Linked DNA regions of Macaca fascicularis. The protein of the gene in region 1 interacts with the protein of each later gene in a pairwise test. Links are inferred from orthologs where the notes say so. Each region holds a gene or a part of one and is shown in the gene's direction. Other genes may lie near its edges. The genes, in order: TRIM27, PPP1R18, SPATA2, GNPDA2, TRIM23, TCHP and FBF1.

Region 1 (4,517 bases):
TCAATCCAAGACCGGACTGTTGTGTGACCTGGCCCAAGTACGCTATGTTTTTCTGGAAATGGGCTAGGGCTATTTGGTACTGGAATTTGAACGACTGGGTACTCAGAGTATGGTTGCAAGGTGGATGTGGGTTTGGGGTTGGCAAGTGCACTTAGTCCCTCAGACTTCTTGTCCCATGGGGAAGAGGACCAGAGGGGAACTCTAAAGTGATGATGTGGGCTGCTTTGCCTATGGAGTAGCCATTCTTTATTCCTTTACTTTCTTAATAAACGTACTTTCACTTTGAAAAAATAAAATAAAAATCAAGTAAGGTCTGGAAGCAGAAGCCCGTATTGCTCAGATAGCAGGACAATATTGAGAAAATCTCAAAGAAAAGCAGGAGACATCAAGCAAGGGATAAGAAAGCAACTTAAAAATGCTGGAGGTCTACTGCATGATAAGACAACGAGTATTGTGGGACTCCAAGACCCTGGGTCACTGTAGGATTCTTAGTCTCTCTATACTTCAGAAAGGAGCAAGCAATTTTTAGTTGCTCCTCAATACAACAACCCTATGTAATGGGCATTTTGTTACTATTTTAATGGATAAACAACCTTATGGTTCAAAAAGTAAAAGATGTAACGAAATCTACTTCTTTACGGCGGTACAGTTATCATCCCCATTTCACACGAGGAGAAACTGAGGTAAATGAATGGTAAACCAACTTGCTTGGGCACAAGTGAGAGGTAGCAGAGCTGGGCTTGTTATTGCCACACAGAAATGTTACCATCTGATAATTAAACCTTTCTTTTTCTAAACAAAACTGCAAGTGCCTACAAATGGGTCTGTTTAATAAAAGGCCTCACCTATCAGGTGGGCTCAGACGGTGACCCTCCTCATCCTCCAGCCTCTTGGGGAAGCCAGATGTCTGCGCTCCCCAGCACCTATATAAAGCCAGCTTTCTTTCTTCTTTTCTTTTTTTTTCAAGACGGAGTCTCGCTCTGTCGCCCAGGCTGGAGTGCAGTGGCGATCTCGGGTCACTGCAACCTCCGCCTCCAGGGTTCAAGCGATTCTGCTGCCTCAGCCTCCTAAGTAGCTGGGACTACAGGCGCCTGCCACCACGCCCGGCTAATTTTTCTATTTTTAGTAGAGATGCGGTTTTACCATGTTGGCCAGGATAGTCTCGATCTCCTGACCTCGTGATCCACCCGCCTCGGCCTCCCAAATGCTGGGATTACAGGCGTGAGCCACTGCGCGCGGCCAAAGCCATCTTTAGCAGGGGCTGAGACCTGGGCACCAAGAAGAAACCCAACTAAACACTAGGGGCCTGGGCCCGGCAGTCGCGGAAGATTGTAGGCCCGGAGCGTGTGGCACCATCTGCTTTTGTGACCAGTCCCCTAGGCTAGAGCTTCGGCGCGACCCGCCCAAGGGAGAGTGGCGGAGCCTCCCAGGCCTTTCTAGAGAAAGCAGCCCGGGCCCCGAGGCCACGAAATCTTGTCACACACTATAAGCGCGGGCCAAGCCCCGCCCCCCGAGCCGCCTCTTCCGCTCGCGCCGGGGTGGGGTCTACGCGGCCGCCGGGATCCGCTCGGACGCGGCCACGTTGTCTTGCGCGCTTTGCGCGCCTGGCCCTGGGATCCTGACCCTTGGCTACCCGTTCCTGCCCCAGTAACGTGGCCGCGAGTCTCTGTGAGCCGGCTGTATTCCCGCACTCGCTCAGGGGGCACAGGCGCAGGGATCGGCCCGGCCACTCTGAGCCTTCGGTGCGCGGGCGCGTCTGGGATACGGGCCCGGGAGGCACCGCCCTCCGTCCGCCCGGTGCCTCCCAGGAACAGCGAACGGGAGAGAGCGCCGGAGAGTTGGGCTCCGTGCAGAGCTCGGCGCCGGGGCCCATGCCCGTGAGCCCCCGCAGGCCCGCGCCATGGCCTCCGGGAGCGTGGCCGAGTGCCTGCAGCAGGAGACCACCTGCCCCGTGTGCCTGCAGTACTTCGCAGAGCCCATGATGCTCGACTGCGGCCATAACATCTGTTGCGCGTGCCTCGCCCGCTGCTGGGGCACGGCAGAGACTAACGTGTCGTGCCCGCAGTGCCGGGAGACCTTCCCGCAGAGGCACATGCGGCCCAACCGGCACCTGGCCAACGTGACCCAGCTGGTGAAGCAGCTGCGCACCGAGCGGCCGTCGGGGCCCGGCGGCGAGATGGGCGTGTGCGAGAAACACCGCGAGCCCCTGAAGCTCTACTGCGAGGAGGACCAGATGCCCATCTGCGTGGTGTGCGACCGCTCCCGCGAGCACCGCGGCCACAGCGTGCTGCCGCTCGAGGAGGCAGTGGAGGGCTTCAAGGTGAGGGCGCGGATCCGGGAGGGCGGGAACGCGAGTCGGACAAAGGGAGGAGAGAGCCAAAGGGGCTTCCCTTTTTCCGCCTAGAAAATGGCTGAGCCGGACGTGTGGTTCACAGCCGTCATTTCCTCTCTGTCCGCTCCAGAGCCTCAGCACTCAGATTTGGAGGAAAACCTGTAGCTGGCGAGGGAGCCAGAAGTCTCCCCACCCCCACTCTCCTTTCTCTGTGTGCCCCCATGTTTCCTGTCTCACGGACACATTGTACACGGAGACATGCTTTTGACAGTATAAAAGAAGTGCATAAAATCGCTTGCACATCGACGAGCTGTAGAGACACATGTACTCTCGTCGGCTGTCAGACAAAACGCAGTCGGACATTAACTGACCGATGCCCATTCCTTGGTCTATAAGCATTTCCCCAGCACTTTCCTGCAATACGTCCTGGTCTAGAAACTCACAGAAAAGAACAGGCTCTTCACTGCTTAAGTCATTTAACCACTCTGAGACTCAGGAGATAACAGTTATGAGGAAGATTATGGAATCATGTGATGCACAGAGCCCTCTGTGAACTGGCACAGCTAAACAGAAACGTGGAAACAAAATATTACATATAAAACAGTTGTAAGGTGACCTTCAAGGAGTCCATGATACTGTGTATTTTCTGTATGTTGAGGGCTTCAGGAATTCATACACAATTATGTCCGTGTTTAAATATGAATACATTCATGTGTAATTAATCACTTAACATTTATGGACCTTTCAGCTATATTCTTTCACTTACTCTGGTGAGAACTCTTGAGTAGGTTGGGAAGATGGTGTTTGCCCATTTCACACATGAGGGAAATAAGAAGTCACTTTCACAGTATGCTTGTGTGGAAGAGCTACAATACAACATAACTCTAAGCCTCCTACTCCAGTCACAGTTCCGCTAAGTCATGCGATATCCTACCAGGGACAGGTAGATGATTCATTGTTTAAGATAGACACAAATAATCCTGACGAGGTAGCTGAGTGGTTGAAGCGACAGGCTGCTAAGATAGACACAAATTGCCAAATGAGTGGCTTGTTGGCCCCTGCGCCCTGAGTCTTTCTCTTGTGGGTGGCAGTGTGGCCTGAGAACAAGTGCCAACTGGATACTTGGCATCAGGTGTGTGGACTCCATGTGTGATTAGAAGTACCATGCTGATGCTAAGGTCTACCTAGTTTTGAACTGCCCATCTGTTTTGCTTTTCTCAGGAGCAAATCCAGAACCAGCTTGACCATTTAAAAAGAGTGAAAGATTTAAAGAAGAGACGTCGGGCCCAAGGGGAACAGGCACGAGCTGAACTCTTGGTAAGGGTTGTTGGAATTCACAGTCGCTTCTGCTGGTGCTCCCCTCTTCTGTAGAGCTGATGTTACTTCCCTTAGACTTGTCCAGCATGTCACCCAGAACCTGTAGGTAGAGGGGGATCAACTGCACATGGCAGTGGGAACTCACCCAGAGAACTAAGAGATTCCCTTTCTTTTGGGGAAAGCGTGGAGGAGCCAAGTTTGGAACCCTTGGAAATCAGACCTGTCAGTATAGTTTAACCTGCTAACTGCGTAGACCAAGGTTGATCCTTGGCAAAGCTGAGATGGGTAAAATTATTGGATACAGTTAGCTTGCGTTGTTACCATTCTTCAGACAAGTGCTAATAGTGGATTTGTGTAAGTCCCACTGTTGCTTCTCTTTGTGTTATTCTCCTTTCTTGACAATGCCTTAATTCTGAATTTTTTGCTCTGCTCTCTTCCTCCAATCTCTCAAGGCCTCGACAAGTGGCTGATGTATTAATTTATGATAGGGGTATATGGGAATTTTTTCTTTTTATTTCCGACAGGGTCTCACTCTGTCACCCAGGCTGGAGTGCAATGGCAAGGTTTCGACTCACTGCAACCTCTGCCTCACATTTCAAGTGATTCTCCCACCTCAGCCTCCCAGGTAGCTGAGGCTACAGGCATGTACCAACACACCCAGCTGATTTTTGTATTTTTAGTAGAGATGGGGTTTCACCATATTGACCAGGCAGGTCTCGAATTCCTGACCTCAAGTGATCCACCTGCCTTGGCCTTCCAAAGTGCTGGGATTACAGGTGTGAGCCACTGCACCTAACTGGGAATTTTGTTTTGAAAAGAAAAAAAAAAACAAGGCAGGGCATGGGGGGGGGGTGGCGGCTCACACCTG
Region 2 (4,397 bases), about 2.3 Mb from region 1:
TTCTCGTCTTTGACTATGCTGAGCTCATGGGCCTCAAACAGGTGAGGCTCTGAGATCCCTACCTACGACCTCTGACCCGTTTTAGAACTACTCTTTCCCTTTCAAGGGTTTCCCTCCTCCCATGCTCTTCTACTGTCTCCTTGATTCTCCCTCATGACCCTTCCCTCAGAAGGACAGCAACCATGGGCCTCCTGGGCCTGGGGAAGGTACATGGATCATAAGTCAGGATCAGGGATCCAAGTCTCAGAAGAGGGGTTCCTGGGCCTGAGCTCTAGAAGGCTGGTGCCTGGAAGAGGAGGAAAGAAGCGCCCAAGCTGAGAAAAGGGCTTGACTCAATTTCTAAACTCTTCTCCCTCTTAGGTATACTACCATGTGCTGGGGCTGGGCGAGCCTCTGGCCCTGAAGTCTCCCCGGGCTCTCAGACTTTTCTCTCACCTGCGCCACCCAGTGTGTGTGGAGCTGCTGACAGTGCTGTGGGTGGTGCCTACCCTGGGCATGGACCGTCTCCTCCTTGCTCTCCTCCTTACCCTCTACCTGGGCCTGGCTCATGGGCTTGATCAGCAAGACCTCCGCTACCTCCGGGCCCAACTACAAAGAAAACTCCACCTGCTCTCTCGGCCCCAGGATGGGGAGGCAGAGTGAGGAGCTCACTCTGGTTACAAGCGCTGTTCTTCCTCTCCCCCTGAATTCTAAATCCTTAACATCCAGGCCATGGCTGCTTCACGCCAGAGGCCCAAATTCATGGACTGAAGGAGCTACCCCTTCCACTACTTGAGAGTTTATTCTCTGGGTCCAGCTCCACACCCTAAATTCTGAGTTTCAGCCACTGAACTCCAAGGTCCACTTCTCACTAGCAAGGAAGAGCGGGGTATGGAACTCATCTGTCCCCTCACTGTTTAGGGCATGACACTTTCGCCCTCAACAGCCTCCTGAGAAGGAAAGGATCTGCCCTGACCATTCCCCTGGCACTGTTACTTGCCTCTGTGCCTCAGGCGTCCCCTTCTCCACCTCCGGCTTCCACTCCAAGAAGCTGGACCAGGGTCTGCAAGTTCAATGGTCATAGCTGTCCCTCTAGGCCCCACACCTTGCCTCACCACTCCTGGTCCTAGTCTCTGCACCTCCTTAGGCCCTGCCTCTGTGCTTAGACCCCAACCTAGTCAAGGGTATTCTCCTGCTCTTAACTCGATGACTTGGGGCTCCCTGCTCTCCTGAGGAAGATGCTCTGCAGGAAAATAAAAGTCAGCCTGATTTTTCTACATATGGCATGCAGTCTGTCAGTGTCTCCCAAGCTGCAGGGCTGAGTTTGGAAAAGAAAGCCAGAGGGAGCCTGGGAGCGCCGAACTGGAGTCTGGGCAGCCACCACGCCCTCTGGCAACCGCTGGGCTTCGGCCACCCCCCGCCGACCCGGCCCACTTTGCCAGAGCGGCCGGGTCCCCATTCCCATTCCTTCAAATTCCCTTTTTCCCGGCAGCCGACCCGGAGACCCAAGGGAGACAGGTTGAAGCTAGAAAGAGTCCGGCAGCAGCTCTGGTAGGGGGGCGAGCTTCCAAAACCTCTGGTTTCTGAGCGCCTCTCCTGCCGCCCACTCCACAAGGCCCCCCACAGCCTGGCGGTTGCCCTCGACCCGCAAAAACAAAGGCCTGCAGAGGTTGGACCTCCAGACCCAGATGAGAAGGCAAAAGCATAGGGAGGAGCTGCAGGAGATGGGAAGGGCGGGCCCGGCCCCGAGCAGCTGCCGCTTCCTCCCAAAGTCCCACGAGGGGCCTGAGTCACGGGCCACCGCCCTGGGTCGGCGAGCTGGGGGAAGGGATCTGGACACCTGGGGTGTCCGGGCGGGAAGCTGGTGAGGGCCCCTGGGGACACAGCGGAGGGCCAGGGGTTGGGACAAGAACAGGGTAGTCCCGGAGCGAGTCCCACGCGGGGTGGGAGGGAGCTAGGCCCCGCCCCCTCCTCGGCTCCGCCCTGCGCCCCCATCCCTCTCCTCATTGTCCTTAGACAAAGCGGTCGCCGCCCCCGCCCGGCCCCCTGGTCTCTGTCTCCGTCCCACCTCCTTTGCTGCCTCTTTCCCTCCTCCTCTCCTTCCCTCCTCTCCTTCCCTCCTCCCCTCCCTCTAGTCTCCGGATCTCCCTCGGTCCCTCTCTCCTCCTCTTCCTCTCTCCGGACGCCCGGCTCCTCGGCACCCCCTCCCGCGGGGGTCCTGCGGCGTGTGAGTTGACTGAGGGGCTCAGACTTGGGGAGTGGGTGTCTCCTCGCTCCGGTCCTTGCTCCCATCCCTGGCCCGGATCTTGGCTGTCTCCTCTTTGTGCCGAGATTGTCAGTCTGTGCGTCCAGAGCGGGGTGGAGACTGCCGGCTCTGTCACGGCTCCATGAGAGCGGGGACGGGGCACAGGACTTGCAGGCGCCGGGGAGAAGAGACATGGAGCCGGCCCTCGGCACTCTGGGGTCGCGTGGCGCAGCCGGTGGGGGAGGCAGGCGGTGGTGACGGGACAGGGTGGGGGTGGACGCCAGGGTTCTGGGAACGCGCTGGCAGCCCTGACGCCCGGGTTCCGAAAGTCCCGGGGGTGGGTATTTCCCCCGACCCGCCTCGGGGGCGGAGTGCGGGGCAGAGGGGTGGGGGCTGGGGAGAGGCGTGGCCCGAGCGGTGCTGGAAGGGGAGCCGGGACCTTTGGGGCCCGCGCTGAGACGCGCCGGGTTGCTGCCGCCGCGCTCCTTTCCCCTCTTCCTTGGTTTCCCTTCTCCCCTAGACCTCTTCGCTTTCCGCTCCTCCTTGCCTCCCCAACACCCCCTCAGGTCCCGTTGCCTCCTGGTCCTTCCAGGGATTCCTGGTCCTTCCTTCCCACACTAGTCTCCCTGGGGTATCGCTGAGGCAGTCTGGCCTGCACCCAGATTCCCCTCACCCCAGCCTCATTTCTCTCTTCTCCCTCACACCAACTTTCCTTTTCGCCCTTCTCTCTCTGTCTCACATCCTAGAGACTGTCTTTAATACGCATTAACCCTGACTGCCACATCTGGCTCCTGCCCTCATTGCCTCCAATCTGGACTCTTCCTCTCACATCACCCCCACCACCCCCAACTTGGGCTCACAACTTCTCTTCACTTTTTCCATTTCCCCAGTTCTCTGCCTTCCCTCTTTCCCTCTGTCCTCATCCTTAGCCCCCCTGCCCTGCTTTGTGTCCCACCTCTCCCCCTCCACTTCCTCTCCTCCCACCCTCAGTCTCCCCCCTGGGCCTCTCTGGAGCCTCTCCTTCCTGTTCTCTGCCCCCAGTGCTCCCTACCCTCACCTCAAGGCGACCATGGCCACCATCCCAGACTGGAAGCTACAGCTGCTAGCCAGGCGCCGGCAGGAGGAGGCGTCCGTTCGAGGCCGGGAGAAAGCAGAACGGGAACGCCTGTCCCAGATGCCAGCCTGGAAGCGAGGGCTCCTGGAGCGCCGCCGGGCCAAGCTTGGGCTGTCCCCTGGGGAGCCTAGCCCTGTGCCGGGGACTGCAGAGGCTGGCCCTCCAGACCCAGATGAGTCTTCGGTCCTTCTGGAGGCTATTGGGCCAGTGCACCAGAACCGATTCATCCGGCAGGAGCGGCAGCAGCAGCAGCAGCAGCAACAAAGGAGTGAAGAGCTGCTAGCAGAGAGAAAGCCTGTGCCTCTGGAGGCCCGGGAGCGGAGACCCAGCCCTGGGGAGATGCGGGATCAGAGCCCCAAGGGAAGAGAGTCAAGAGAAGAGAGACTAAGTCCCAGGGAGACCAGAGAGAGGAGACTGGGGATAGGGGGAGCCCAAGAGTCCAGCCTGAGGCCTCTGGAGGCTCGGGACTGGAGGCAAAGCCCAGGAGAGGTGGGAGACAGGAGCTCCCGACTGTCAGAGCCATGGAAATGGAGGCTGAGTCCTGGAGAAACTCCAGAGCGGAGTCTGAGACTAGCAGAGTCTCGAGAGCAAAGCCCCAGGAGAAAAGAGGTGGAAAGTAGACTGAGCCCAGGGGAATCTGCCTACCAGAAGTTGGGCCTGACAGAGGCCCATAAATGGAGACCTGACTCCAGAGAGTCTCAGGAACAGAGTTTGGTACAACTGGAGGCAACAGAGTGGAGGCTGAGGTCAGGAGAAGAAAGACAAGGCTACTCGGAAAAATGTGGCAGAAAAGAAGAGTGGCCAGTTCCAGGGGTGGCTCCGGAAGAGACTACAGAGCTGTCCGAGACCCTGACAAGGGAGGCCCAAGGCAGCAGTTCCACAGGAATGGAGGCAGCAGAGCAGAGGCCTGTGGAAGATGGCGAGAGGGGCATGAAGCCAGCAGAAGGGTGGAAATGGACCCTGAACTCCGGGAAGGCTCGAGAATGGACACCCAGGGACATAGAGGCTCAAACTCAGAAACCAGAACCTTCAGAGTCAGCAGAGAAGCGTCTGGAATCT
Region 3 (4,281 bases), on another chromosome or scaffold:
TTTTGGCTGTCACAGACCCACAGACCCACAGAGCTGGAGGGGACTTTTTTTTTTTTTAGCAGTCCCACGTGAAAATGCAATATTGTAAGAGCTACCAAACCAGAGTGTTGAGTTGTTGTAAAGGCAGACTTAAGGTGGGACAGTTTGTCTCAGATGAAATTCCTGTGAACATTATCACGTTGCAGATAATGAAGAGAGGAGCTTAAACATGAGCTGATAAAGAACACAGGGACCTTGAGCGGTGCTCAGGCAATTACAGGTAAACACAGTAATGCTACTGTTTGGACAGCAGATTGCTGGTTCTCCAAACGTTTCCCAGTATTAAAGTCACTGATTCATCACACAAGGCCCACCGGTTTTAGCTGGGGTCACCGAGACTCAGAGTGAGAATCCTACAATCAATGAACATCTATTGTGTGCCTCCTCATCAGACATGTGCGGAGCTTGGGGGGAAACAGATGAATAAGAAGCTCAGGGTCTGGTGGGGATGTCAGATTTTATATATATATTTTATATTTATATATATTTTATATATATAATTTATCTGAAAGTGTTGGGATTATAGGCGTGAGCCGCCGTGCCCGGCTTTTTTTTTTTTTTTTTTTTTTTTTTTTTTTTTTTTAAGAGACATGGCCTTGCTATGTTGCCCAGGTTGGTCTCGAACACCTTGGATCAAGCGATCCTCCCGCCTCAGCCTCACGAGTAGCTGGGACTACAGTCGCGTGCCACCACGCCTGGCTTTATTAATTTTACAGGTTATAAAGCTGAGACTCAGAGAGGTTAGGTAACTTGTCCAAGGTCACACAGCTAGTAAGTGGCAAAGCTAAAAATGGGACCCACGCTCTTAACCGTCGCCCACAGCCCGTAACACCGACAGCCCTAGCAAGGCTGGATTCCAATCACGCGTGATTTCAGCGTCTCACTGGCTCTCTTTGAGCCTCAGTATTTCTGTTCGTACAATGGGGGCGAGGGATCCGACCGTTAGCCCCTGCTTGCTTGTGCGGAGTCATGAATGCAGCTCCAGGCTCCGTAGCGGTTTCCATGACAACCCGGCCAGCCACCATCCCTAAACCGAGTGGCTTCCGTCACGTCCGGCCTGTTTACTTCCGGGTCCTAGCTCCAGACGCGACGATGGCTCGTTAGGCTCCAAACTGCCGTTCCGCCGCTTTCGTCCTCGTTCTTCGGCCTTCCGCTTTGTTCTCGGCCTCTGGCTTGTAGTCTCCGTCGGCCGCGGGCATCGACCGCTTCCCGGAGCCAGCGCGCAGCCGTGGTCCACCCTCTCTTCGGACCCGCCTCCTGGCGACTTCACTTCCGGGCCGAGTGTTTCCGGGTCGCTGCTGGCCCGCGGGTACTGGTCTCAGTACCCCTGCAGCCGGCCGGAGCGGCTAGAGCCCAGTGGGGCCCGGCTCCGGCGGCAGCCGCGCCTCCCGCTTGCTTCCCTCGGCCGGGCAGCCCTCGGCGGCAGTGTCAGGGTGAGTGACGGGCGGCCGCGAGCGGAAACTGTCTCCGGGGCTTCCCCAGGTGGAGGGGGCGCCAGACAGCGGCAGGGCTCGGCTGGCCCGTGAGCGGGGTCCCCTCACGTCAGGCAGGACTACAGGTGGGCCCGTTGTTTCGGCGCTCCCGGGACCCCCAGCCTATCCTCAGGATCCCCATTCTCCTGGGAGCTGCCTTGTAAGCTCCTGGAACCCACCGAGGGTGGCTCAGGGCCGCTCAAGAGGAGCACCCTCTCTTCGGCGACTGGCCAAACAGAAGGACACCCCGATTTCGCCACGAGGCGGTTACTGCGCAGGGGTTCCCAGTTCAGACTCTGGCGGCACACCTGGGTTTGTACTCACTGTGTGACCTTGGATAAGTCACTTCATCTTAAGAGCCTCAGTTGCCTGTTTAAGTGTGATTGAACCTGGTTGCTAGGGCTGGAGTAGAGATGGAATGAGATCATGCAGGGCCCCTGGCATACAGCAGGCGTCCAGTAAGTGATAGTTCCTGTTACTTCATTCAATTCACGAACCCGTGGGGAGGGTCAGAATTTGAGACTGGGCTGTTTTTCACAACTGACGTGGCCCCCCGAGGCTGTAGGAATGACCGAGCTGGGACTTAGCAGCCGCCAGCTTCTGTCCCTTGCAGGGAGGGAAACAGCTTCCTTCAGAGGCAGCTGCCACTAGGGAAGCTTCTTTCGGCACCGCTGAGGTTATTTTCAGAGGTTTGGAAGGACTCTGTGTGAATTTCTTTGGAATCTAGTAGGAGTGTGGGGACCTTCTGGTGTTTCACAGCCCGTGGAAGGTGCCTTGGATGTGTCTCGGAGCCTCTTGCTTGGAACGAGTGCATTGGTGTGGGTGGGGAGGTGGAGGGGGTTGAACTGACTTCCTCGTCTGCTGTTTGGAGGCTGATGGAGCTAGACCAGGGATGTGTAAACCTGTGGACAGGGGCAGTGCACAGACCAAAATAGCTCTGCCTGTGCAGAGAGGGGGCGCCTTCAAATACTGCTTGGGGAACATTTCTGCTTGAATGGGCCAGCTGAGGTAAAGCCAAGCGAATGCTTTGTTACTCGGAATCACTTCACTTCCATGCAGTGGGAGTCTAAACAGATACAGCTTTCCTCTTAGATGTTTAGAAAATAACTAAATAAGCCACTGCCTCCCTGACTGCAATATCTCTCTTTCCATTGACTTGCTTTTCAAGAGGGTGCCTAGATTGTGGGTTCAGGAGGTGCTGACTGGAGCTGTTGACTCTGGGCACCTGCCTGCCTCTATGTTCAGGATATTCACAGTGCTGTTTTTTTGTCTTTTGGGTTTTTTTTTTTTTTTTTCTCCCACCAGACTGGCACGGCTTGGCGTTCCAATCCTTGGGTTGCTTGGAGAAATTAACAGCTTCTGTCGTTGGGCTGTCTCGGTCTCCTGTAACCACGATGTTTTTGCAGAGAGCGTATTTTGTTGTTCTTGCAGAGTGCTGGGAATGAATTGCTGGCTCTGTGCTCAGAAAAAACACCAGCTATGACCAGCTACAAGGCATCTTGTATTCTCAGAAAATGTTTTCAGCAGGGATGATGTCAGCTGCTTCATCACTGGCCGATGTCTCAGGCCAGCCTCTTTCCTCGGCCCTTGAGCTTACATCATATAGAGATTAGCTCTCCTAGCCCCATTCGGTGTGGGAAGATGGGAATTTTGCTACTACAGGAATTTTTGTAACTCAACTCTGCTCGCGCCGCCATAAGGCATTCTAACTTAGCCAGACACTTTCGAGTAGAGCTGTCCAGCAGATGCAGCAGGATGGCTTTGCAAGAGTCAGAGTTTTGGCATTAGACCTAGGTTCAGAGCTCAGAGCCACTTCTTCCTAGCCTTATGACTTAGGGTAAGTGAGTTGGCCTCTCCGAGCCTCAGTTTCCTCTTTAACCTTGGATCTATCCTATGGATTTCATTGTTTTTCATAGAGCAGTTAGCAGAGAGCTGCCACACAGTAATCCCTTGGTAAATGGTACTGATGTAACAATAAATGAGTGAGATAAATTGGAGAAAGCACCAGGCATCAGGGCCTGCCAACAAGAGTTCAGATTCCAGCTCTGATCCTTTCAAACTCTGTTGGACAGGTTGTTTTAATGGGAGAGCCTGTTTTCCTTATAGAGTTGTGAGGATTAAATGGGATGATGTAGGTAAAGTGGGAAGCCCAATACTTAGCACATAGTAGGACCTCAGTAATTGTTAGTCTCTTTCTTTCCTTTCCTTACTGACTGATTGAGACAGAATCTTGCTCTGTCACCCAGGCTGGAGTGCAGTGGTGCCATCATAGCTCACTGCAGCCTCAAACTCCTGGGCTCAGTGGATCCCCCCACCTCAGACTCCCAAGTAGCTAAGACTATAGGTGCATGTCACCACACCCACCTAATAATAATAATAATAATCCAGGCATGTCTTGCCCTTAATTATCTTTTAGCTTTTACTTTCTTCCGCCTTTTCCCTCACCTACCCAGGTTGTTTGGAGATTTGTTTTAGATATATTGGACTTCCTGTCCTTGTTGTTCAGATTTTGAACATCAGCTGGGCTGTTTGGATCCCTTTGCTTTATTTATTGTTTTTCAGCAACAAACAAGGGTGTGGACTGTGGTGCGATTATAGAGCAGCATACGCTGAGCCGAGCTTGCGACTGGCTGACTTTGTAAAAAATCAGTCTCTTTGAGTTCAAGGCTGACTTCCTTGGAAAAAAATTACAGCAGTATTCAGAAACTTAATGTCTCTGTGTTTGAATGGTTCTCAGGCTACCAGAAAACAAGCCCTGGGGCCAGAGGCG
Region 4 (3,901 bases), on another chromosome or scaffold:
TCTCAAACAGTTGCCTAGGAAGAGAATCCTTCAGCCGTTCACATATGGCTTTGCCAATTGAGTGTGCTTTGTCTCTGAGACAGAAAAATACAACTGTTTATATATCCTAAATAAGAATATTTCAAGTATTTTTCTAGGCCAGTTGCATAATCAGTGTAAAGGTGATCTCTAAAGGAGGTTCAAATGGAACTTACTTATCATAAATATCTCTTACTCTCTGAATCATGAACAACTTCTCTAAGAAAGCAATGTATGATTACAGGAAATTTAGAAATACATTAGAGAATAGAAACCGTTCTTGATTCTCTTTCCTTAGCCACTGAAAACGGTAAACATTTTGGAATGTTTATTTTAAACATATATCTTTCTAGTCATTTTTTTGCATATTTTTGTTATGATCAGTGTTTATGATATATTCTACCCTCTTATTTAATAGACATTTTTGTCACTAAATACTACTCCACAAGTTTTAATGGCTGAAAATAACAATATGGGTGCTTTGTAATTCATTTTAACCAATCTGCTGTTTCTTGAACACGTGGGTTTTTTCCTTTTTATAATTTTTTTACAAATATAAAAGGGTGCGGTGGCTTACGCCTGTAATTCCAGCACTTTGGGAGGCTGAGGCAGGCAGATCAGAGGTCAAGAGATCAAGGCCATCCTGGCCAATATGGTGAAACCTCGTCTCTACTAAAAATACAAAAATTAGCTGGGCATGGTGGCAAGCGCTTGTAGTTTCAGCTACTCAGGAGGCTGAGACAGGAGAATCGTTTGAACCCGGGAGGCAGAGATTGCAGTGAACAGAAATTGCGCCACTGCACTCCAGCCTGGTGACAGAATGAGACTCCCATCTAAAAAAACAAAACAAAACAAAACAACTTGTTCCCAATTCTAAATCCATCATCATAAAATTTTTTAAACTTTTGTGTGTGTGTGTGTGGTAAGGGGAAACATTTCTATTACACTATTCTTTTTGACTATTATAGCTCTGTTCTATTTTTAGCAGTCCAGAGAGAAGTGTGGAAAAAGAAGAGAAAGCAAAGTACGTAGGGTGAACTCTATTTTAATTACCTTTAAAAGTTTTTTAAATGCAGCTGCTCAAAAATAAGTGAAAAACATATCAAAAGTGAGTATTTTCACATTCCACGATTAGTTTCTATTCAACTTACTTGTGTACAACAGTTACTAGCTCCTCTACAGTATTTCCATTCAGTAGAATATCCATTTTCACAAGTTCTGCAGTCTGGTAGCCTGCATCTTCATAATCAAAACTAAAAGGAAAAAAGTCCAAGTGATAAATATTACACTTCCCAAGAGATTACCTTTTTTACTCTTTACAAAATGGCTACTTTCTGCCACATTACACTCCCCAAAGAGATCTTTCCATCAAAATATTACACATACAATTTCTTGTGAATGGATCTAAATGTTATCTTTTTATGTTTATTAAATCAAGGGCAAAAACAAAGGGAATATGTTTATAGGGGAAAGGGAAATAAATTGGTGAACCTGACAAAGAAAAGGGTTTATTGAAAACAAATACCATGCCTTCCCATGTTCCCAGCAGCTGGCAAGCTTCAGACAATACTATATATTAATGGATCATTTTCAGATTTATGAGTTGGGTTTCTGTTTAACTTTCTATTACCAATGACAACTCTATGTTTAAATAAATGCTATGACACTCATAAAATGCCATTAATAAATGAGACCTTTGAATTTCCTATTTGGCTCTTCAGTTTGCACCTCCCTTCAGAGGGCTTTTGTGAGGATTAAATGAGTTAATACATGTAAACCACTTAGAGCAATGCCTAGTACATAATACATGTTTAAACAGAGCCAAACAGAGCCTAGTTTAGCATGCAAACAAGCACTTAGTTTCAGCTGTTACTTTTAACAATGTGGTCAAAGCTTGCAATGTTAGTCAAAACAGGTATTTAAATGTTTAACTTATAAAACTGAAGTCTAACAAGAAAATTTCAATTATAGGCTTACAAGTTGTCCCAATCACAGACAAGAACATGTATACTCCTACTGTCTTAATTTTAAAACAATTGGTGCCTGGACTTGCAAAATTATGTTTGGTTTCTAAAGATTTTCAGCAGAAAGGTCATAAAATGACAATAATACACTCTATTAACAGATTCTTTTCAGAAGTACTGTTAAAATCCTTTCTTCAGAAAGCATCACTTATTAAACATTTACTGTATGAAAGATACCATGTTAAGTATCCTATAGAATACAAAGCAAATAGGAAGAGGAAAAAACAGACGTGGTCCTTAACTTTGAAGTTGTTACAGCTCCAGCTATGTTGTGGTCCAAAATATTAAAAATCTTAAAAATTTCTTAACTCATTTTTTCAAAAGAAATCATTATAAAAATTGTGCTTTCTTTTTCCAAGGAGCCCAATCAATTCCTAACCTCTACTGAAAACACAGGCATTCTAGTGTTCCCTTAGAATGCAGGAAACACATCTGCAATTCCAAAAAGCTACTGGGGTTATGGGTTGAGGGCAAATGCCTGTTTGATTAGACACCACTACAGTTCTAGTATAACACAGGACTCCCTGCTCTGACCTAGTTGCAGTTGATTCTTGCCTCCTGGTATGAAATAAATTTTTCCCTGATCTTAATTCATAGCCTATGATGACTTTCTGTTAAGTGTGGAATTGACTGCATATGTAAAACATCCATCTTGAACATAACAATTACCTTAATGCTGGAAGCGGGAATATTTTATTTTTATGTAGTTCAAAAATCACGTTCTCTCATTAAATTCAAAATGTATTTAAGTTTCCAAATGAAAAGGGTTTTTAAGACCACTTATAATTCAGAAAGTAGTACCCAAATGCAAACTAAAATTGACAGACTTCTGTGAAAAATATTTATAAACATTAAACCTAGTAATCTTCCTTTCAACTCTAGTAATTTTAATATGCCCCCAATTCATTTTACTTTAAATTCCACAGCCACTTACTTGCTCAAGGTCTTGTCTGAAAGAAGACATAAAAGAAAAAAAAAAAAAAAAAAAAAACTGGGTGACAAAGTAGAAAAAAATTCTCAATACAAAGGAACATGAAGATTCCTTGGTAAGAAGAATTATATATGCTAACTCTCTTCACTGACAAGATGATTAAATAAAGTTAAAATTCCAAGTCACTGTAGCATGTTCGTTAAACATGAAATTTGTCTCTGCACATTAACATTAATATTCATGCACTGTGTGGGAGTTCTATAGATGTCAATGTTCATTTTTCCCCTTTTGCTTCCCCATGTTTCATATCTATTTTCTACTATATACTATCCCGTAACATAAGATTTTAGGGCATAGTGAGGGTACCTAGAGTGAGATGCCCCAACAACAACAACAACAAAAAAAAAACAGCCTCTCAGAATGCCATGCCCTGAGTTCCTTATTTGTTATTTAATAGTAACTCTTCTTTCATTTTTGTCTGGCTTTTCTCCATGTACTCCTATGAGATACACAATGGTTTTCATGATGTGGACAACCTGTTCCTGGAAAGACTAAGTTATTAAAGTGTTCACTAATGGAGGGGCACACTTAACATTTTTTACGGACTGAATATGCACTTTTATTTTTCAAATGTAAACAGATGCTCTTGAGATTGCGTAACATACAAATACATTTTAAAAGTGCCACTGAGGTTACAGTAAATTTTTGAAATTAGGTCTAATTCTTAACAGACAAGGAATACAACTCTTCATGAAAAGGGGAGTAACTTTTTTTGTTAAGAGAAATAAAAGTTAGAAAATAAATCAAAGGAAGTTTTTCTCCTATAAGCAAATCACAAGTAGTCTGTAACACCTATAAGGTTGTTCCAAGTCATTTTAACCTTAGCGTATGATTCTCAACTATCTTCAAGAAAGCTGAAAGTATTAAA
Region 5 (3,767 bases), on another chromosome or scaffold:
GCAGAAATAATAAAGGTGCTAAATGCTATTACTTCCTAACTGCATGTCAAACATATTTAAAAATATTTAAATCATAGGATAATCGAGTTCACATTGGGCCAAAAATGGAAATTCGGGTCGTTACATTAGGATTGGATGGTGCTGGAAAAACTACTATCTTGTTTAAGTTAAAACAGGATGAATTCATGCAGCCCATTCCAACAATTGGTAAGTATGAATATTGGTTTTTACCTTAAAGAACAGTTAATAGACAAACCCTAGCTTACAGCCGAGTTCTTGGGGTCTTATTTGATACTGATCTGTCATGGTGGTGGGCTCTTTTCTGGCTTTAAGATATCAGCATCTCAGAGAAAAAAAATGTAAGATTGTATGGCTATGGGATTGAAATGTGGATGGGGATAAAAAGAATCAGAGTATTGGTGGGACAGTTGGAAGGAATAGAGGATTGGTGATCCTGGCTGAGGGTGTGGGGTGGGGGGTGGTAGTGGAACAGAGCTTGAAGGTACATGGATCCCAAGGTCCTAAGGACCTTGGTGGAGGTTTAGAGGGCTAGGAGCTGTTACAGGTATACATTCTCCATGTAGGAGTAGGAATGGGGTTGATTAGGCTTCAGTAGATATTGCTGCATATAGATAATTGATAAGTCACAGTTATAAACTGGGGGGTTGTCTGTGTTTGATGTGTCATTCATTGTAAATATAAATATAAAAGTAACTTTTTTTAAAAACAGGTTTTAATGTGGAAACTGTAGAATATAAAAATCTGAAATTCACTATTTGGGATGTAGGTGGAAAACACAAATTAAGACCATTGTGGAAACATTATTACCTCAATACTCAAGGTGAGAGTTAAAAATGACATTTAATTTTTCACATTTTTAGGATGACAGTTTTCAGTGTACTGATTTAACTAGCAAAGCTGATACGTATAAGTCCTTGACTGTATACTTAAGTACCGGTGGCCAGTTTCTTATCTTGTAAAAAATGAAAATAGAAAGATTACGATATGTACTTTTAGTTTATTCCTGATAAACCATTATTACAGAATAAAAGCCATACGTACCTTAGATAGTCAGTTAAGAGTACTCTTGCTTCTCTTAACAGAGAATGTATATTATCAGTATTATATGGGTGTGATTGCTGGTAGTGTCGTGGTATAGAGTTGAATTTATATTGTATGATTCTGCTGAATTCAGTTAAACTCAACATTTATCCCATTATAATCTCACTATAGCCCCACTCCCACATTTCTTTCACAAATAGTTGTTACCTGCAGAAGAATTTACAGTGGCTTGCTTTTGACCAAACTGTATTATATCATATGTATACTCTACATAGGTTTTAGTCACATTTGGGTCTTATTCTACACTTTTGCCTCATAGACCACAACATAGAGCTTACGCTCATGCCACTTATTCTGTATGTTATCCTGCTTTCCACTAAGATGAGAGACTGAACAATTATTTTTACTTTGGGATTTTTGGTATTTAGTATGACCCATAATTAATAGAAAACATGTATTTTGTTTTTGAGACAGAATCTTGCTTTGTTGCCCAGGCAGGAGTACAGTGGCATGACTGCAGTTCACTGCCACCTCTGTCTCCTGGGCTCAAGCAGTCTTCCCACCTTAGCCTCCCAAGTAGCTAGGACTACAGGGGTATGCCACCACATTCAGCTAATTTGTAAATTGTTTTTTTTTGTAGAGACAAGGTCTCACTATATTGCCCAGGGGTCTCAAACTCCTGGGCTCAAGTGATCCTCTCACCTCAGCCTCCCAAAGTGCTGGGATTATAGTTGTGAGCCATTGTGCCCTACAAAAATGAAATTTTGAATATGAGGAATGGTTGAAAGTCTGGGGATAGTTAACTTAGACATAATACTTTAGAGAGATAAAAATGGTGATGGTTTTTGTCTTTTAGTCTTTTATTCAAAGACTAAATGTTACAAAAGTAGTATTCGAAGAACAAGTAGCATCAGTAGGTAGAGGATCATGAGGCCTATTTTGCAATTTGTTATGTAAAAAATGTTATTTGATATACAGACCAATTTGCATTTGATAGAGCAAGTGTTGTAAATCCTTTCATAGATGGGGAAACTAAACCTGAGAAGTTATGTAAACTACTTGAAATCATATCGTTAATTTTTTGTAGGTGCCCCTGCCATACTAGGCAGACTGTGTGAAAATAATGATGGTAGACAAACTCTAACCATAATAATGATGTCATTAAATATTTGGTTCATTTACTGAACTTTAGCAAGTGACTAATTAGTATTTTGGGTTTTTTATTTGTTTGTTTTTTGGGTAGCTGTTGTGTTTGTTGTAGATAGCAGTCATAGAGACAGAATTAGTGAAGCACACAGTGAACTTGCAAAGTTGTTAACAGAAAAAGAACTCCGAGATGCTCTGCTCCTGATTTTTGCTAACAAACAGGTAATGCATTTTTATATTGGAATATTTATTTTAGTAGTTTTGTGCATGTCATAAAGTAACTGGAAATATTTCAGAAGACAGTTCCATAGATATTTATAAAGTTTCTTCTGTGTATTTTGAGTACAATCTATGTGAAAATGCTGTGCTGGGTACCTGGGAGTATACAAAATAGAAATAAGGTAGTTAATGCTCACCAGAAACTCTTGTGTATGCATATGAACCCATAAATGAGATACGAATACAAAGAAAACTGATAAGTAACTTCAGTAACACAGTGTTATGGGAATTAGGAGAGTAGTTCTAAATGTGGCATGTTGTAAGATTGTAAAATGTAGGATTTGAGTTGAAATTATGGATGAGGCTGAGTCAGTATGTGAAAGGAAGAACATCATAGAGAAGATAATAGCATGAATGTTTTTAGTTTAGGGAACATCAAGCAGATCATCATGTCAGGTCCAGGTAGAGGATGAAGAGAATTTAGAATAACAGACAAGGCCATGCTGTAAAGGTCTGACAGGGCTAGACTGAGAAATTTAGGTTTTATTCTGTGAGCAAAGAGGAGTCATCAAAATGTTGGATTAGTGGGTAATAAGATCATATCAGTGTTTTAATACTGTAATTCTGGGGGTAGAATGAATCAGGGCAAAGGACTGGAGACAGGGAGATGCAGTAAGTTGCTTAAATAATTCAAGTGAGCATTAACAAGAGTCTGAATTTGATGAATAGAAAGGCGGAGGCAGATGGAAAAGACTTTGAGGTAGAACTGGTGACCGAATGGGGAGGATGAAGGACTGGGAGTAGCTGAAGATTCCTAGGCCTTGAGCCTTTCTAGGAGGATGAGATGCTTTTAAGTAGAGGTAGGAGAGTAGAAGTGGAGCAGAGGAGATGTCATGGGAGGGGAAGAGTAGGATGAAGAATAAAGAATTTTCCCCTTAATAAAAAAAAGCAAACTATTAAGAACTGGTATATTTAAGACATGCAAATAAGTGAGTGAAATACCATTTTGTGCTCATCAGATAAAGATGAAAGTGTTTTGTAATTCTCAGGCTTATATACACTATTACTATTATTATTATTATTGAGACTGAGTCTTGCTCTGTCACCAGGCTGGAGTGCGGTGGCACAACCTCTGCTCACTGCAGCCTCCCCTTCCTTGGTTCAAGCGATTCTCCTGCCTCAGCCTCCCAAGTAGTTGGGATTACAGGTGCTTGCTACCACGCCCGGCTACTTTTTGTATTTTTAGTAGATTCGGGGTTTCATCGTGGTGGTCAGGCTGGTCTCAAACTCCTGACCTCAAGTGATCTGCCCGCCTCATCCTCCCACTGTTGGTAGGTTAT
Region 6 (4,533 bases), on another chromosome or scaffold:
AGGTAATCCACCCTCCTTGGCCTCTCAAAGTGTTGGGATTACAGGCGTGAGCCACTGAACCCAGCTGAGGCCATGATGCTGCATCCAGGAAAACCAGAGATGAATACAGAATGGAGAAATGAAGAAGAAACGAAAGAATAGGAAAATGAAAGAAAAGAGAACAAACAAGTAAGTATTTTTCTTCATTTTCTTTTTAATGGAATAGTTGGTATGTAATGCTTGTAGCACACATGAGTTATAAAACATACTAATAGAATGAACACTCTTGAACTCATCACCAATATAATACTATAATATAAAGTTATTGACTGGGTGCGGTGGCTTACTCCTGTAATCTTAGCACTTTGGGAGCCTGAGGCAGGTGGATCATGAGGTCAGGAGATCAAGACCAGCCTGGCCAATATGGTGAAACCCCGTCTCTACTAAAATACAAAAAATTAGCCGGGTGTGGTGGCGGGCGCCTGTAGTCCCAGCTACTCGAGAGGCTGAGGCAGGGTAATCGCTTGAACCCGTGAGGCAGAGGTTGCAGTGAGCCGAGATTGTGCCACTGCATTCCAACCTGGCGACAGAGCGAGACTCCGTCTCAAAAAAAAAAAAAAAAAAAAAAAAAAAAAAATGACCAATAACTTCCATCTACTTATGCCAGCAGGTCTCTGCCCAAGTTGTACATTGAACACACCTGGGGAATTTTGGAAAACACTGGTACTCTCAGATGGGATTTGGGGTTTCGTTTGGGCATCTGGATTTTTTTAAGGTATCTGGATTTCTTTTCTTTTTTTTTTTTGAGACAGTGTCTGGCTCTGTCACCGAGGCTGGAGTGCAGTGGCACAGTCATGGCTCACAGCAGCCTTGATCTCCTGGGCTTAAATGATCCTTCCACCTCAGTCTCCCGAGTAGCTGGCACCACAAGTCCCACCATGCCGGATTAAGTTTAAAAATTTTTAGGCCGGGCGCGGTGGCTCAAGCCTGTAATCCCAGCACTTTGGGAGGCCGAGACGGGCGGATCACAAGGTCAGGAGATCGAGACCATCCTGGCGAACACGGTGAAACCCCGTCTCTACTAAAAAAATACAAAAAACTAGCCGGGCAGGGTGGCAGGCGCCTGTAGTCCCAGCTACTCGGGAGGCTGAGGCAGGAGAATGGCGTAAACCCGGGAGGCGGAGCTTGCAGTGAGCTGAGATCCGGCCACTGCACTCCAGCCTGGGTGATAGAGCGAGACTCCGTCTCAAAAAAAAATAAATAAATAAATAAAAAATAAATAAAAATTTTTTTAGAGACAGGGGTCCCTCTATGTTGCCCAGGCTGGTATCTGGTGATTCCCATGCGCAGCCAGGTTTGAGGATCACTGGCTTATATTCTCCTCCCCCTGGTTTCCGCCTTCACCTTCAGGTGATGGTAACCACTATCCTCAAATACGCGCAGTGCACGGACAGATGCTTTGCCTCCGTCCTTCCCTAGTTCAAGGAGTAGCGACGTTTGCTGTTTATCTCCCGCCGGCCACGAGGGGGCACCAGAGAAAAAAAAAACACAGTCTCCCTTCGCGCTGAAGGAGGCTTGGCCCTTGCGACGCTCCGTCGTCGGGCTCGTTGCTGGCGCAACCAGGGCGGAAACTGCCGGCGTTGCTGTAGCTCGTCTGGGAATTACACCGGGGGACTGGCCCGCCCACTTTGTGCCTGCGGGAACTCGGGCCGGGGGACTCTTCGGAAACTCCAAGACTCAGAGAAATGTGAGTCGAGGGGTTGGACTCGGCCGGATCCGGCGTTAGGGCAGGCCCCGCAGGCGGCCCGCGCGGGCGGGAACCGGGGCGTCAGTCCACGGACGCGAGCTCAGGGCGCCTCCTGGGTCCTCACTCTGCTCCCGACGCGCCGTGACCCCCTTTGTTGCACGTGCATGTTCAGGTCGAGAGAGGGATGCGAAGCGTTCGGGGAGTAGACCAGCTTGTGGGTGGCCAATCTGGGACCGGAATCTTAAACTTTTGACTCTTGATGCAAAAGTTGATCCACTGGCGGTTTTACGGGGCGGGGAAAAAAGTATGTGAAGCTTGCCACGGTCTCGAGACCGAGGTCACACGTTAGCAGCCCGCCGGCTACATTTGGACCATAGATGCAGAGTGTTTGCCCCCAAACTTGGAGGACCTCGAGTATGAGATTCTTGGCGTGGACCAGGCTTTTTCGCTTATTCGACAGGCGTTCCTACCCAGGCACTGCATCGACCCTGCACTCGAGGACAGCTTTTGGGACAGGGGAATTGGTCCCTGGAGTGAGACTGCTCTCTGCTTTCAGGGCTCCAGCTGTATCCCTACATTGCTCAGGCAATTCCTCTCTCTAGCTCTCAGCTTCTTCATCTGCAGGGTGAAAGGTCTGTCCTCCATGGTAGCCCAAAATACTTCCGAGTGTTATATCAGGCGAGGTCCCTCCCAAGGGGCTGCCAGAGCCAGGGCAGGTTGGTCCCAACAGGCAGCCCCTCGCAGTGTAGAGAACCGTGGGCTTTGGTCTCAGACGGACATGAATTAGGAACCCAGCTTGTTTATTTCCTTTGCTTCCTGGCTCCGTGGTCCTGAGCAAATCACTTCACCTCTTCGAACTTAAGGTTCCTCACCTGCCAAATAGCGAGGTGATTGTAAGAATGAAAAAAAGTCGTATGTATTGAGTGCTTGGCACGTACATGTGTTCGTTACATTATTGTCTCTGTTTAAGTAGAGCGTGAATGCCCCCGATGTGCCTACTCTAGCAATCTTAGGACAATCCCTGTGTCTGTCTGTTGTGTCCCTGGTGGTGGCTGGCCCACAGCTGGGTGCATGCAGTCCAGAATTTTTGATGTTTTAGGATTTTTTTGAGACAGAGTCTCACTGTCGCCCAGGCTAAGTGCAGTGGTGCTATCGTGGCTCGCTGCAGCCTTGACATCCTGGGCTCAAGCAGTCCTCTTGTCTCAGCCTCCTGAGTAGCTGGGATTACAGGCGTGCCACCACTCCTGGCTAATTTTTGATTTTTGTTGAGATGAGGTCTCATGATGTGGCTGGTCTCCAACTCCTGGCCTCAAGTGATCCTCCTGCCTCAGCCACCCAAACTGTTGGGATTACATGCGTGAGCCACCGCATCTGGCTAAGGTTTATTGTTTTGTTTTGTTTTGAGACGAAGTCTTGCACTGTCGCCTAGGCTGGAGTGCAGTGGCACGATCTTGGCTCACTGCAACTTCCACCTCCTGGGTTCAAGCGATTCTCCTGCCTCAGCCTCCCAAGGAGCTGGGATTTAAGTTCCACCCGGTAATTTCACTGTGCAGCCAAGGGGTGGTGACCACTTGTTAAAGGGATGAGGCCAAGCTGGTGAGGGTTCCCGGGGTTTACAGTGGCTCACTTTCCTCCCATTCCTGTTCTCAGATGGCGCTCCCCACGCTGCCGTCCTACTGGTACAGCCAGCAGCACCTGAATCAGCAGTTAGCACGACAGCGAGAGCAGGAGGCCCGGCTTCGGCAGCAATGGGAGCAGAACAGCCGTTACTTCAGGATGTCTGACATCTGTAGCTCCAAACAGGCAGAATGGAGCTCTAAAACCTCCTACCAGCGGAGGTAATTTTGCGGTAACTGCCGATTGGATGGAGGTGGGGGCTACTTGCCAGTCAGGGGATGAGGCCTTAAGGATTTAGGGAGAGTAGGATTTGCCAGGCAGCATGAATTCCCTGCGTGGTGATGTTTTTCCAGCTGGAAGTGGAAAAAAAGATCATCTATGCAGCCATACATTGGCATTGAAAAAGATAAAATGATGCAGAAGAATATGATAGAATTTGGAAGCCTGCTTGTAACCCCATATCCCCATAGAGAGCCACAGTTAACAGTCTCGCAGGTATCCTTCCATGCTTTTACTCATTGGTATTTGTGCTTAAATAAACACACACACACACACACACAGACACAAACTGCTTTTATAGAAATACATGTAAACACATGGAGGCTGAAAGCATAGGCTTTGAAGTCAGATAGACCTAGATGGAAATCCTGACCGTGTCTCTTGCTGAATGTATGAGCTTTGGTTTCCTCATCAGTCAAGTAGGGCTACAGCAGACCTATACTGTAGGATTTATGTGATGGATAACATATACATTATTTATACAGTTATACATTTTCTTTTTGCAAAAACAAGATTTTCTTTTAGGCATACTATTCTGTGACCTGCTATCTTCACTTTAGCTGGGGACACATTCCTGTGTCATCATGACACATCTACTGCGTCAGCCTCTTTTACCCACACAGCAGAGCAGAGCACGCTCCCTGTGGCTGTAGCATGATTGATTCAGGCAGGCCCCCTTTCACCCAGCATGCACGCCTATCAGCGTGAGAAGATGAAGGAAGAGAAGAGGAAGAGTCTGGAGGCCCGACGGGAGAAGCTCAGGCAGCTCATGCGGGAGGAGCAGGACCTCCTGGCCAGAGAACTGGAGGAGCTGAGGTTGAGCATGAACTTGCACGAAAGAAGAATCCGGGAGCAGCATGGGAAGCTGAAATCAGCCAGAGAAGAGCAGAGGAAACTGGTAACTTCCCAGA
Region 7 (3,767 bases), on another chromosome or scaffold:
CGGCCTGATTTTTTTTTTTTTTTTTTTTTTTTTTGAGACGGAGTCTGGCTCTGTCGCCCAGGCTGGAGTGCAGTGGCCGGATCTCAGCTCACTGCAAGCTCCGCCCCCCGGGTTTATGCCATTCTCCTGCCTCAGCCTCCCGAGTAGCTGGGACTACAGGCGCCCGCTGCCTCGCCCGGCTAGTTTTTTTTTTTTGTATTTTTTTAGTAGAGACAGGGTTTCACCGTGTTCGCCAGGATGGTCTCGATCTCCTGACCTCGTGATCCGCCCGTCTCGGCCTCCCAAAGTGCTGGGATTACAGGCTTGAGCCACCGCGCCCGGCCCTGATTTTTCTTTAGACCTGTGTGCCCACGGCTGTCATTTCATTCTGTTCCTGCTCTGCGGGGAGAACTGTCCCTGGTTCAGGTGATGGAAGTCAAGATCTCTGTACTTCGTTGTTCTACAGATAGCACGCGGCCTGCCACATGAGCCAGTCCAGGAGCCACTGCTTACTGGGCCTCAGCTGAGCGTGCAGGGTCCCAGGGCATCGTGCTGCCCAGCCCCAGGCTGCTAGGGGGCCAATGGGACTGGCTGCTTCCCCTGCCTGACACCCTCCTTTCTGTCTTGAAGTAGGTTCTTAGCAGACAGTGGCCCAGACCCCAAGGGAGAACCAGGCTCCAAACAGAGCCCTCCAGCTGCTTCCAGCCCCATCCAGCCCAGGAAGGGAGGAGCTGACTGGCTGGGCCTCAAGGACGAGGACTTGGACCTGCTCCCTGCCTCACCCACCAGAGAGGCCCGTCGGGAAAGCTTGGTGCCTGCCACGCCCTCAGTGCCTCCTCCTGCAAGCCAGCACTCCACACCAGCTGGGCTGCCCCCCTCCAGGGCAAAGCCACCAACCGAAGGGGCAGGGTCCCCTGCCAAAGCCAGCCAGGCTTCCAAGCTGCGGGCCTCCAAGGAGGAGGAAGAGGAGGACTGGCTGAGCCATGCCCTGTCTCGGAAGAAGTCCCAAGGCCTGGCCAGAGAGCAGCGTGCTGGGGCCTCTGAGGGCCTGAGTTTGGCGGGGACAGCGGGCCATCCCCCTTCTGGCAGGTATGGGCTTGGGCTGCTGTGGCTAGTAGGGGGAGGACTGGCTGCAGACTTGAGGAGCCCCTTTGCCCCTCCACCTGTTGCAGCCTCAGTCGGGAGTTGGGGAACAAGGCAGGGCACTGTGGGCACAGAGGCCGTTTCTTGGCTTTGCTACTCTGCCTTTTGGGCACTGCAGAGAGAGCCTCTGGCTCCCGGGCTTGCCCCAGGGACACACCCAAGAAGGAGAGCTGTTGACATTCATGCCCTGACTGCCATGGGGACAGGTGCTAACTAGATCGGGCAGAAGACAGAGGGTACCTGAGGTGGCAGACACACCGCTGCCCTGTCACAGCGCCCTCAGGCTGGAAGCCCCAGCATCCAAACAACTGGTGCTTCTGCCGACTCCACTGAAGTGAATATGGCGTGTGTGAGACGAAATGTCCCTGTGCTCTTTGAGAGTGTTAGAAGAGACACAGTGGCCGAGAGGCACCTCCTGGCAAGCCCCTATCCGTGGGGCAGGATAGCAAGTGACCTCTGAGGGCAGGAAGGCACAAGGGGACGGCAGGCTGGGGGAGTCCAGAGGAAGTGGTGAGATGTGCTGTGGCCAGAGCCCAGGGTAGTGAACTGGGAAATTTGTGGCAGCCCAGGGACGTCACCCAGTCCTGGGGTTGATGAGGGCAGTTGTGACTTTGACCTGAGGCCTAGGGGAAAGCTCAGGCCAAAACAGATGAGAGCCTGTCTCTTCACTGACCTGTGAGCCGAGAAAGAGGTGGGAATAATGGGAAAGGGAGCCAGCCAGATTTGGGAGACTAAGCAGAACCTTAATCTAGAGCTGAGCCAAGTTAAGTGGGCTGGAACAGGGCTCTGAACTTGAACTTGACGCCAGTGTCTATAACATTTCCATTGTCACTGCTTGGACCGTGTCCATTCACTGCGCCACTGTGGACACTGCGGCAGGAAGGGGGTATTTGAAGGGAAGAGATGCCCAGAAATCCCAGGAGCTCAGATGTGGGAGGAGAATGCCCCAAGATGGGATGATGGGAGCAGGAGGAAGGGCGGCCACGAGCTTCACGTGTGAAGCCCGTCCTGGGACCCATCTTCATCCAGCCTGACCTGGGCCTTCTGTCACCTTCACCTTGAATGCTGCCTTTCCTCAGCCAACCTGTCACCAGCACACAAGGACTTGAGCAAGCAGCTACTGGAGAGAGCTCCGGAACCGCCGCACAAGAAAGACCGTGTGTCAGGCCTGGTGACTCAGGGTAGGCCTGGGCTGCGGGCTGAGTGGGAGTGAGATCGTGGTGGGCAGCACAGGCCTCTGTCCTTAGAGAGGGACACAGAGACTGCTCACGCTGCCCCATCCCCATGCCCCACACAGAGGTTGCCCACCCTGCCCTGTCCCCATGCCCCACACAGAGGCTGCCCACCCTGCCCCGTCCCCGTGTCCCACGCAGAGGCTGCCCACCCTGCCCCGTCCCCGTGTCCCACGCAGAGGCTGCCCACCCTGCCCCGTCCCCGTGTCCCACGCAGAGGCTGCTCACCCTGCCCCGTCCCCGTGTCCCACGCAGAGGCTGCTCACCCTGCCCCGTCCCCGTGTCCCACGCAGAGGCTGCTCACCCTGCCCCGTCCCTGTGTCCTCAGGTCCCCTGTGACTCGGAACCATGCCGCCTCAGCACTCCCTACAGGTTCCCCAAAGAGGCGACCAGCCCCTGGAGACCTCTCAGCCACTGGTTTGTTTTTTGTTTTCTGCTTCATTTGGGAGTTTAACCCTGGGTGAGGAAGAGGTGCTTTGAGCTTCCTTTGGGGTCCCTGGGACATGAGTGACACCAGTCCCTCCTGGACACTCACAGGCCCAGAGCCCTGGGCCTCCTGCTCATTTCTCTGCTATTGATGTTTCAGAGCCTGCCACCTGTTTCCCGAGCACCCAGGAACCCACAAAGCCTTCCATGCCCATCCAGGTAGGGGTGTGGGCAGACAGGTCTAGCTCAGGGCCTAGGGAGCAATTCTCCATGCCCAGAGGCAACACCAACAGTTTGACCTGATGACCTGCCAGGAAAGTATGTCAAACATACCAAATGTGACGTCAGCCAGCTCCCCCGGCAACCCCCACCAGAACTTGCCTGAATCTCTAGCCTCGCTGCTCCCAGGGTGTTAATTTGCCTACATCAGTGAGGAGTTTGAGGAGGTAGCCAGGCCGGGAAGCTGGGACACTGCAGTCAGAAAGCAGGGCCCAGGGTCCTGTTCTGTCAAGAAAGCCTCCTCCACCCCTGCCATCCTCGCACCACACCTCTGCCTCTGTTTCCCATGTGTGGCAGTCACCTGTGACATGTAGGCCTGGGAGATGTGGCCCCCAGGAGTGTGTCCCTGGGAGATGGTGGGTAGGGGACAGCTTGTGGGAACCAGATTAGTGTCAACATGTGGGCTTCAGGCCTGACAGGAAAAGCTAGCGTCAGCTTTTGTCATAGCAGAGACTCTGCTGGGGCTCAGCCATTTGTCTGGGAAGCCGGAGACCATGCAGGGGAGGAAGCTGTTCTGGGGTGGTGGAGGGAGACATGCTCCTGACCAGACCTGCAAGGGGAGGTACACTGGGGACTGCTCAGCCACAGTGACTGTGACTCTCCAAGGCCTTGGACCCATCTGCAGCCACAGATCAGATGCAGGGAGGTCCGGTGAGCAGCAGGCCAGGAGGTAGCTGATCTCAGCTGGGCCCCTGTCCCCTCCCTAAC

What was found.
Region 2: the proteins of TRIM27 (region 1) and PPP1R18 interact in binary tests that used the Homo sapiens proteins (3 or more experiments, as listed by UniProt). The two-hybrid records come from large-scale screens. The link is inferred for Macaca fascicularis from reciprocal best matches to the Homo sapiens genes TRIM27 and PPP1R18.
Region 3: the proteins of TRIM27 (region 1) and SPATA2 interact in binary tests that used the Homo sapiens proteins (3 or more experiments, as listed by UniProt). The two-hybrid records come from large-scale screens. The link is inferred for Macaca fascicularis from reciprocal best matches to the Homo sapiens genes TRIM27 and SPATA2.
Region 4: the proteins of TRIM27 (region 1) and GNPDA2 interact in binary tests that used the Homo sapiens proteins (3 or more experiments, as listed by UniProt). The link is inferred for Macaca fascicularis from reciprocal best matches to the Homo sapiens genes TRIM27 and GNPDA2.
Region 5: the proteins of TRIM27 (region 1) and TRIM23 interact in a two-hybrid assay, tested with the Homo sapiens proteins (2 studies listed by BioGRID and IntAct). The link is inferred for Macaca fascicularis from reciprocal best matches to the Homo sapiens genes TRIM27 and TRIM23.
Region 6: the proteins of TRIM27 (region 1) and TCHP interact in binary tests that used the Homo sapiens proteins (3 or more experiments, as listed by UniProt). The two-hybrid records come from large-scale screens. The link is inferred for Macaca fascicularis from reciprocal best matches to the Homo sapiens genes TRIM27 and TCHP.
Region 7: the proteins of TRIM27 (region 1) and FBF1 interact in binary tests that used the Homo sapiens proteins (3 or more experiments, as listed by UniProt). The two-hybrid records come from large-scale screens. The link is inferred for Macaca fascicularis from reciprocal best matches to the Homo sapiens genes TRIM27 and FBF1.

Annotation. Positions count from the first base shown.
Region 1 is NC_088378.1:144,252,465-144,256,981, forward strand, and holds the start of TRIM27 (zinc finger protein RFP), read left to right. Parts: upstream 1-1,549; 5' UTR 1,550-1,900; coding exon 1,901-2,320; intron 2,321-3,553; coding exon 3,554-3,649; intron 3,650-4,517. UniProt on the Homo sapiens protein: E3 ubiquitin-protein ligase that mediates ubiquitination of various substrates and thereby plays a role in diffent processes including proliferation, innate immunity, apoptosis, immune response or autophagy.
Region 2 is NC_088378.1:141,967,167-141,971,563, forward strand, and holds the start of PPP1R18 (phostensin), read left to right. Parts: upstream 1-1,442; 5' UTR 1,443-1,667; coding exon 1,668-1,843; intron 1,844-2,062; exon of another isoform or gene 2,063-2,459; intron 2,460-3,265; coding exon 3,266-4,397. Other genes in the region: NRM (nurim), read left to right, coding at 1-41, 361-642.
Region 3 is NC_088384.1:105,995,855-106,000,135, reverse strand, and holds the start of SPATA2 (spermatogenesis-associated protein 2), read left to right. Parts: upstream 1-1,320; 5' UTR 1,321-1,969; intron 1,970-4,281.
Region 4 is NC_088379.1:44,152,365-44,156,265, reverse strand, and holds the end of GNPDA2 (glucosamine-6-phosphate deaminase 2), read left to right. Parts: coding exon of another isoform or gene 1-74; intron 75-1,169; coding exon of another isoform or gene 1,170-1,271; intron 1,272-2,968; coding exon 2,969-3,078; 3' UTR 3,079-3,160; downstream 3,161-3,901. Other genes in the region: GUF1 (translation factor GUF1, mitochondrial), read right to left, coding at 1-74, 1,170-1,271. UniProt on the Homo sapiens protein: Catalyzes the reversible conversion of alpha-D-glucosamine 6-phosphate (GlcN-6P) into beta-D-fructose 6-phosphate (Fru-6P) and ammonium ion, a regulatory reaction step in de novo uridine diphosphate-N-acetyl-alpha-D-glucosamine (UDP-GlcNAc) biosynthesis via hexosamine pathway.
Region 5 is NC_088380.1:71,290,892-71,294,658, reverse strand, and holds part of TRIM23 (E3 ubiquitin-protein ligase TRIM23), read left to right. Parts: intron 1-77; coding exon 78-207; intron 208-730; coding exon 731-841; intron 842-2,305; coding exon 2,306-2,430; intron 2,431-3,767.
Region 6 is NC_088385.1:116,771,881-116,776,413, forward strand, and holds the start of TCHP (trichoplein keratin filament-binding protein), read left to right. Parts: upstream 1-1,573; 5' UTR 1,574-1,726; intron 1,727-2,186; 5' UTR 2,187-2,358; intron 2,359-3,376; coding exon 3,377-3,564; intron 3,565-4,309; coding exon 4,310-4,520; intron 4,521-4,533. UniProt on the Homo sapiens protein: Tumor suppressor which has the ability to inhibit cell growth and be pro-apoptotic during cell stress. Inhibits cell growth in bladder and prostate cancer cells by a down-regulation of HSPB1 by inhibiting its phosphorylation.
Region 7 is NC_088390.1:82,331,880-82,335,646, reverse strand, and holds part of FBF1 (fas-binding factor 1), read left to right. Parts: intron 1-609; coding exon 610-1,068; intron 1,069-2,201; coding exon 2,202-2,303; intron 2,304-2,682; coding exon 2,683-2,771; intron 2,772-2,940; coding exon 2,941-2,999; intron 3,000-3,767. UniProt on the Homo sapiens protein: Keratin-binding protein required for epithelial cell polarization. Involved in apical junction complex (AJC) assembly via its interaction with PARD3. Required for ciliogenesis.